Linked DNA regions of Oryza sativa Japonica Group. The protein of the gene in region 1 interacts with the protein of each later gene in a pairwise test. Links are inferred from orthologs where the notes say so. Each region holds a gene or a part of one and is shown on either strand. Other genes may lie near its edges.

The links.
Region 2: the proteins of monothiol glutaredoxin-S11-like (region 1) and protein BOLA2 interact in a two-hybrid assay, tested with the Arabidopsis thaliana proteins (2 studies listed by BioGRID). The link is inferred for Oryza sativa Japonica Group from reciprocal best matches to the Arabidopsis thaliana genes GRXS17 and AT5G09830.

What each region holds. Positions count from the first base shown.
Region 1 is NC_089044.1:19,787,604-19,791,859, forward strand, and holds the start of monothiol glutaredoxin-S11-like, read left to right. Parts: upstream 1-1,381; 5' UTR 1,382-1,510; coding exon 1,511-1,678; intron 1,679-2,854; coding exon 2,855-2,929; intron 2,930-3,590; coding exon 3,591-4,256. UniProt on the Arabidopsis thaliana protein: May only reduce GSH-thiol disulfides, but not protein disulfides. Participates probably to the maturation of iron-sulfur proteins and to the regulation of the redox state of the BOLA proteins.
Region 2 is NC_089035.1:38,152,834-38,155,939, reverse strand, and holds protein BOLA2, read left to right. Parts: upstream 1-1,495; 5' UTR 1,496-1,574; coding exon 1,575-1,637; intron 1,638-1,733; coding exon 1,734-1,756; intron 1,757-1,888; coding exon 1,889-2,087; 3' UTR 2,088-2,292; downstream 2,293-3,106. Other genes in the region: sm-like protein LSM3A, read left to right, coding at 19-114, 515-595. UniProt on the Arabidopsis thaliana protein: May act either alone or in interaction with glutaredoxin as a redox-regulated transcriptional regulator, or as a factor regulating Fe-S cluster biogenesis. The GRXS17-BOLA2 heterodimer binds a labile, oxygen sensitive iron-sulfur cluster.

The DNA.
Region 1 (4,256 bases):
ATAAGCTTGCTTGACGATACTGTTAGAGATGCTGACAGTGTAGTTCGCTTCGGTTTAGCCTGTAATTGCGTTGTACCTATGTTAACCTGTCTGTCCTGAGATACAATGACAGCCAGTAGATGGAACTCCAGCAGAACTGTATAAAGACTGGGTGTTGTAACCGTATATGTACTGTCCGTATGCTTTGTTAAAACAAGTTCTTGTGTTTTATCTCGTTGCAACGTTTCTGAACAATGATTTTGGTTTCGTGGTTGATTCTAACAATTTCAGCGTATTCCAGAACTCAAATGCTGCGTTTTTGGTGTTTCGCTAGTTTGTACTACCGAAAACGGCTGTTAGAAGTTGTACGCAGAAGAGACGACATCGGATCACTGAACACTGAGTAGAATGTCACATTTTATTTTACTAAGATAAAAGCTCACAATCTGTTTATAGGTGATTGGCGTCAATTTTGTACAAATATCCCATTTTAACAGAAGCATAATCACAGTTTACACAGTATGGGCCTTTTGTTTTCAGGTATGAGATCGAGAACTGTGTTTTATTTCGAAATCGCTTTTAGAATCATGTACTCCTAGCAAATTGATCCCTTTCAAGAAAGCCCTGTTTGAACAAGGTGGCCTTTTCCTAGAACTGTAATCAAGTAACGAAAATCTCTCCCAAAAACCATGAAAAAATTCAGAAGAGAAGAAAAAAAGAAGAGGGCAAAGTTACCGCAACTTGGATCTCAGCAAGATAATTGTGTCATCAGGAGGCCATGGCCATGATAGCAACAGCCTCACATGTAATCAGGAAGATAACGCAGTATTTCTTGAAAAGCATCATCGATCCACTTGATTCACCCAACTCACACACAAACCACAAAAATCACATAAAAAACAACAATAACCAAAAAAACCCAGATGTATCAACTACTGCTGACGGATTTCAGATCACTACTCCTACGCCTTACAGATCTGATCCTGCTGGATTGCTCAGAGAGATTCAGATACAAAAGGGGAAAAAAAACAGAGAGTCTCAGATCTACTTGCGGCGGCGAAGGCTCGGGAGGGGATGGAGGCTAGGGTTTCTGGCCATGCGAGTCCATTTCCCCATCAGGTGAACCCCTCCCCTTTTTTCACCCCTTTTATAGCCTCACTCCCCCGACCCGCAGCCGCGCTCCCGGCGGCGCCGAGACCCCACCACCGCGTCTCGCTCAGAAAAGAAAAAAAAAAAAGTCCAACTCGCCTAACGAGTGGGCCCGAAGCGGCCCAAATACCAGGAGACTTTCCGGCCCACCCGCCGCCCCGCCCGCCCCTTCTGGAATCTTCCGTCGCCTTCGCACCTCGTCACGGGAGGTAAAAAAGAAGAAGAAAAAAAACCGAAAAAAAAAAAGGAAAGCAGAGGAAAACCCCAAGCCGCAAGCCCCCCCGCCGCGAGTCGTCTTCTCATCTCTCCTCCGCCGCCGCCGCCTGCTGCTGCATCTCTCGTCGTCGCCGGTGAGGGAAGGGAGGGGAGGGGGGAGGGCGTGATGGCGGCGGTGAGGGAGGTGGGGTCGAAGGCGGAGCTGGAGGCGGCGGCGGGAGGGGCGCGGGCCGCCGCGGTGCACTTCTGGGCGGCGTGGTGCGAGGCGTCCAAGCAGATGGACGAGGTCTTCGCGCACCTCGCCGTCGACTTCTCCCACGCCGTCTTCCTCCGGGTACGTGCGTGCGCTCGTGCCACTGCTGGTGTCCTCCCCGATCGCGGTAGATTTGAGCTGTTTAGTTCGCTTAGGGTTATGGTGTGGTAAGGATTTTGGTGGAAGGTTACAGTGACTTGCTTGCTGGTGGCTTCACATACTGTATTTCCTACCATTTGTTTTAGTAGATTCATATGAGATGTTTTTCGGATGATGAATTGTGAATCTTGTTTCAAGAATCATGAGTAGATTTGGAATTAGTTTGCTTTTATATATCTGGGAAGTAGGTATATGTTTTTGAGAGGTTGATACTAACCTGGCTGCCTGGAGTTCTGCCATAATATAGAGCCCATAGTATATAAATTATTGATAGTGATTATTTCTTCGATGTTCTGTGTAGGATAAATGCTATTGAAGCTGCTCTACTTCTGTGTTTGATTTGTAACTGTGGTGTTGTTTCTTTTACTTCATAGTATTGTGTAGGGATGTATCAACTATCAAGTACAATTCTTCTTCTTTGATTGCCGATCCAACTTGTTTATCCAGTTTGACTTACTGCAACTAACTAAAGAGCCAGTTTGACTTACTGCAACTAACTAAAGAGGTAGTTGTGTAACATCCTTAAGCGCTGACCATTTTCCTGCTTAGCGTACAATTCTTTGATTGCCCATCCAACTTGTTTATCCAGTTTGACTTACTGGTTGAATGCAACTCCTGAAGAGGTAGTTGTGTAACATCCTTAAGCGCTGATCATTTTCCTGCTTAGCACCGATTCACTGTTTATTCCACCTTGGGTTGTAGCTTACTGCATGTCTGACTAGTTGCTATTGTGCTAGGAACCATACTCTTAGCGCTAGAATATGTCCTGCAACCTTTTGAGTTCTCAGTGGACTCTGAAATCTGTCAAGACTCAAGAGTATGAGACAAAATATAAATATTTCCAGTCCCTTACATAATTATGATTCGTTTTGCTACTGGATTATTCTGTAGTTTCATTGAGTGATACCATCAAACTGAGTGTTATATAATAAATACTGTTATAATTCAGTAGCTCTTCTTTGTGACTATTTTTCTTTGGGCATTACTTATATTCCTATTAGTCTCTCTAGTAATTGTTAATCACTGTATTATATTGTAGAATTTGACTTCTATATCATTTGCTTGTTTGTTTTCTCATACACTAGTAACTTTTGTCAGGTTGAAGCTGAGGAACAACCCGAAATTTCAGAGGCATATGGAGTTACAGCAGTGCCATATTTTGTTTTCTTGAAGGTATTCGCAACTGCCTTTATATAATTTGTTCTGACACGAACCATTTCACATAGTTATATATTTTTGCATAATAACTTCTGGTAGGATCATGATACTCTTCCTTACTAACTTGATGCGGATGAGTTCTAGCCTTGTATAATGCTAGTATGGCTATAATGCTGAATAAGTAGCTTGTATTCTTCCAACAAGATGAGAGGTGCAATAATTTTTTTATTCCACAAAATAGTGATCAGATTTGCTTGCTCATATACCCTGAAGTAATGAGTTTGGATTGTCTCCACTGACATTAGCTGCCTACAGTGAAGTTACCATTTTTTAGAGGTGCAGTAAAGATTCTACCTTGTTGTGTAATTTAGTGCACCATAACTGTCTGCACTAAAGACTCCTTATGAATGTATCTTATGACATCTGATGAGGTGTGTTGTCTGATGGTGTAACACACAGTCTCTCTCAATTCATGGACTTACAATCAGTATGAGCTGTGAATTGTGCTCTTGAACCAATGCACCTGATCATATGATTATTACTATTAAAGCTTGCATGCATAGGTCCTTTAGTATATTGCTGAATATTTGTTAGCAAATTATTTGAAATATCAGTATGATGCTTTTTACTTAAAGAGGTTGTCATCTTTGTGTCTTTGTTTTTTTGGGGTTTGCAGGAAGGTAAAACTGTTGATACTCTGGAGGGTGCAAATCCAGCCAGCTTGGCCAATAAGGTTGCAAAGTTAGCTGGGCCTGCCAGCGTTGCTGAGTCTGCTGTGCCTGCTAGCCTGGGTGTGGCTGCTGGGCCTGCTGTACTTGAAAAGGTTCAAGAGATGGCACAGCAAAATGGAGCTTCTGCCACTAGTAGTGCAGAAGATGCATTGAACAAGAGATTGGAGCAGCTTGTCAATTCCCATCCCGTCTTCTTATTTATGAAGGGAACCCCTGAGCAACCAAGGTGTGGTTTCAGTCGAAAAGTAGTTGACGTTTTGAAGCAGGAAGGAGTTGAATTTGGGAGCTTTGACATCCTAACAGATAACGATGTACGTGAAGGAATGAAAAAGTTCTCAAACTGGCCGACTTTTCCTCAGCTCTACTGCAAAGGTGAGCTGCTTGGTGGATGTGATATTGTGATTGCTATGCATGAAAGCGGTGAACTGAAGGATGTTTTTAAGGAGCACAACATTCCGCTGCAGCCACAGGGAAGCAAAAACGAGGAGGCAGTGAAAGCCAAGCCTGATACTGAGAAGAGTGGTGCAGTTTCTGAACCAGCTTTGCTTACTGCAGCTCAGAAGGAACGCTTGGAAAGCCTTGTTAATTTCAGCACAGTGATGGCATTTATA
Region 2 (3,106 bases), on another chromosome or scaffold:
TTGTACCTCTTTATCCAGGCATACGATCAACATTTAAACATGATTCTTGGAGATGTTGAGGAGATCGTGACAACAGTTGAGATTGACGATGAGACATATGAAGAAATTGTGCGCGTAAGTGTTTTGACCTTTTGTTGCAAATTTTGTGATCAGTACTTTTGAAAGTCATGCTATAATTGTTTTGGTTAACCCTGACCATTGATTGATGATGGAATATCAATGTGGATAATATGTTTGCTTTAACCCATGCACATGAGTTGTTTGGCTGCCACCTTGTGCGTGCCACTACACATCTATATTGTTGTGCACATTTTTTTCTCAAAGTACCTATGGTGCTTAGACTGCTGGGCATATAGTGCTTAACTGCTGGTTTAGTGTAACATAATTGCGGTTACATACTTTTTATTGGGAATAATCTGATGCTTTGGGACATATTTCTTACTGCTATATTCTGAAATTTCTGGTGAACATGTTGATGCTGTACTAACTATTGCTAAATCGTGTCTTTTTCCAGACCACAAAACGCACTATCCCCTTCCTTTTTGTTCGAGGTGATGGTGTCATTTTGGTTTCTCCACCCCTCCGAACGGCATGAAGTATGAAGGAAGCTCCTGCCGATTGTCAACCATGAGTAATGTGTATTTTTTAATCAATGGCATGTGTTATGTGCTGAAGTGCTACTATTTCTGATGGATTCTAGTTTTAGCATATGATACAATTGTGTAACAATTTCTGATCGAGGTGCTAGTTTCTACTGTCATGTTGAATCAACCTTTTGTTACCAGATTAATCAACTCAATCCCGAAGCACTAATATTTGTTGTGGTGATGTCTTGCGTAATTTTTGTAGATCCACATGCCAAGAACACCCTGTTCCAATCTCTATTAAAAAAGAGCCAGCAAGTTGTAACATTTTTACAGCGTATATGATTCACATCACAACACCCAGCCAAACAGGGAACGTATCACCGTCCCAAGACTTATCACAGCCAAACAGCCAAACAGCCACACGGCAGCGGTGTCTCCAGGGCTTGCAGAAAAGACACATTTTACATGATCATTTCATTAGCTACAAAAAGAGATCTATAAACTATTCACTGACCAGCAAAGTCAATCTTCATTCCAGCCATGCTTGAATTCGCCCCAAATCCTCACGCCCGGTCATGAAATTGTATCCATCTAAAGTTCTAAACAGCAAGCCAACAACACAAAAAGTACGACACAAAGTATTAGCCAAAAATATTCGAATTTCTTCGGGAAACATGAATGGATTTAACTAAATTTCACCACATAGAAAAGAATGAATTTAGCGAAAATTCACCACCATAGAAAAGAGAATGCCCGGGATCAAACCGAAGATTCGATTCCCAATCCAGCGGAGAGATTGGGAAGAACAAAAAACCTTTTCATGATTCCCAATCCACATCAAGTAGGAATATTTCTGGTAACTGAAAGAGGTCAAATAAAGGAGAGGGTGAAACGGCCGGCGCCATCCCAAGTCGTCTTCCTCCTTCGCTCAACCCGCAGAAGAACACAGATTCGAAGAGGCAGAGGCGGCGAAGAGACGCGCGAGCCATGGGCGTCACCAAGGAGGATGTCGAGGCCGCCATCACCTCCTCCCTCAGCCCTTCCAGCCTCGTGAGTCTCTCTTCCCTAAACCCTCGCCGCTTATCCATCATCCTTTTGCCGTTCTAAACCCTAACTGCCGCTTCTGCTTTGGTTCCACGGTTTCAGGTGGTGACGGATACTTCCGGCGGGTAATTCCTCACCCCCAAACTCCAATTGTTCTTCACCTTTGTATAGGAGTATTTAATTTGCTTGCTTCCATTGTTACGAACGAAAGAGAAGAGATCTTGTGTTTGGTGACTGGTTGATCGATTGGTGTGAAGGTGCGGCGCGAGCTACGAGATTGAGGTGGTGTCGGAGAAGTTCGAGGGGAAGCGGCTGCTGGAGCGGCACCGGATGGTGAACACCGCGCTGGCGCCGCACATGGCGGAGATCCACGCCGTCTCCATCAAGAAGGCGCTCACCCCTGCTCAGGCGCAGCCCCAGCCGGAGCCGGCCGCCGATAAGGCGCCCCAGGCTTAAGTAGTTCTTGAACTCACACCTCCAAACTGTTCGATCACATATGCACCACGAGTGAACCGATGCACTTGGTGTAGCGTTTGTCATGGGTGTTTGAGATGTGCGTCAGCTCTCTCTGCTTGAATAATGTGCATACAATGGCAGAATTGGAATGATACTATGCTTGACTGCTTAGAAATTTCAGTAACTTTGCGTGCTTCCCGCGTCATGTGCTTGGCAGTTGATCCTATTTCACAATTTTGCCAATAAATTGCCGTCTAGATAATGATCCTATTTCGCAACTTTGCCGATAAATTGTCATCTAGTTAATATTTAGTCCTAGGACTTGGATTGTTTTCCCCTCGAACTAGGTTGTTTGATTGTAGAGATAAAGTGCAGTTGCTTCATGATTGATCTAGTATTGTTTATTGCTGCTACTATAAGTTGACTGGCTCACAGCCTGACATAGTTGCTAGTATCTACTAGGGGTTCTATAATGCCACATTGTTTTACTTGAGCATTTAGTCTCTGTATTTTTGGTGAAGCCGACAAATATTAAGAATAAACTATTCTCACTGCTTGCTGGACCAATAAAACTGGATATGATCATACAATTGTGTTTGGTGCTAGGTGTATGATGGCTTTTAGTTTATGTGATAAGTAGTTCTCAGCTAGTTTGGGGACAATAAAGTGGTAACTAGTTTAAAATCATATCGTTGTGTTGTAAGTGCATTTGCTGCTTGCACTATTAATTTCTTGGAGATCTGCATGCATGCTGACATCTGATAGAAAATGAACCACTTCCCTTCAGCATTTGCTTTGCTTCTTTGGTCTGTGTTGGTTTCGACTTCCTTTAAAGTGAATTCTATCAGAAGGCCTGTAAAAATGATTTTTATAGGTTGATGTGTTGATACTAGAGATGTTCTTCACTGAGATGTTTCTGTCAGAATGCTCATTGAACTGTTAGATACTTCTCTTAGTTTTGGAATTGGTTTCACAATTGTTTGAAAGCTTGAAGCAATAATCAACACAGTAGATCCAAA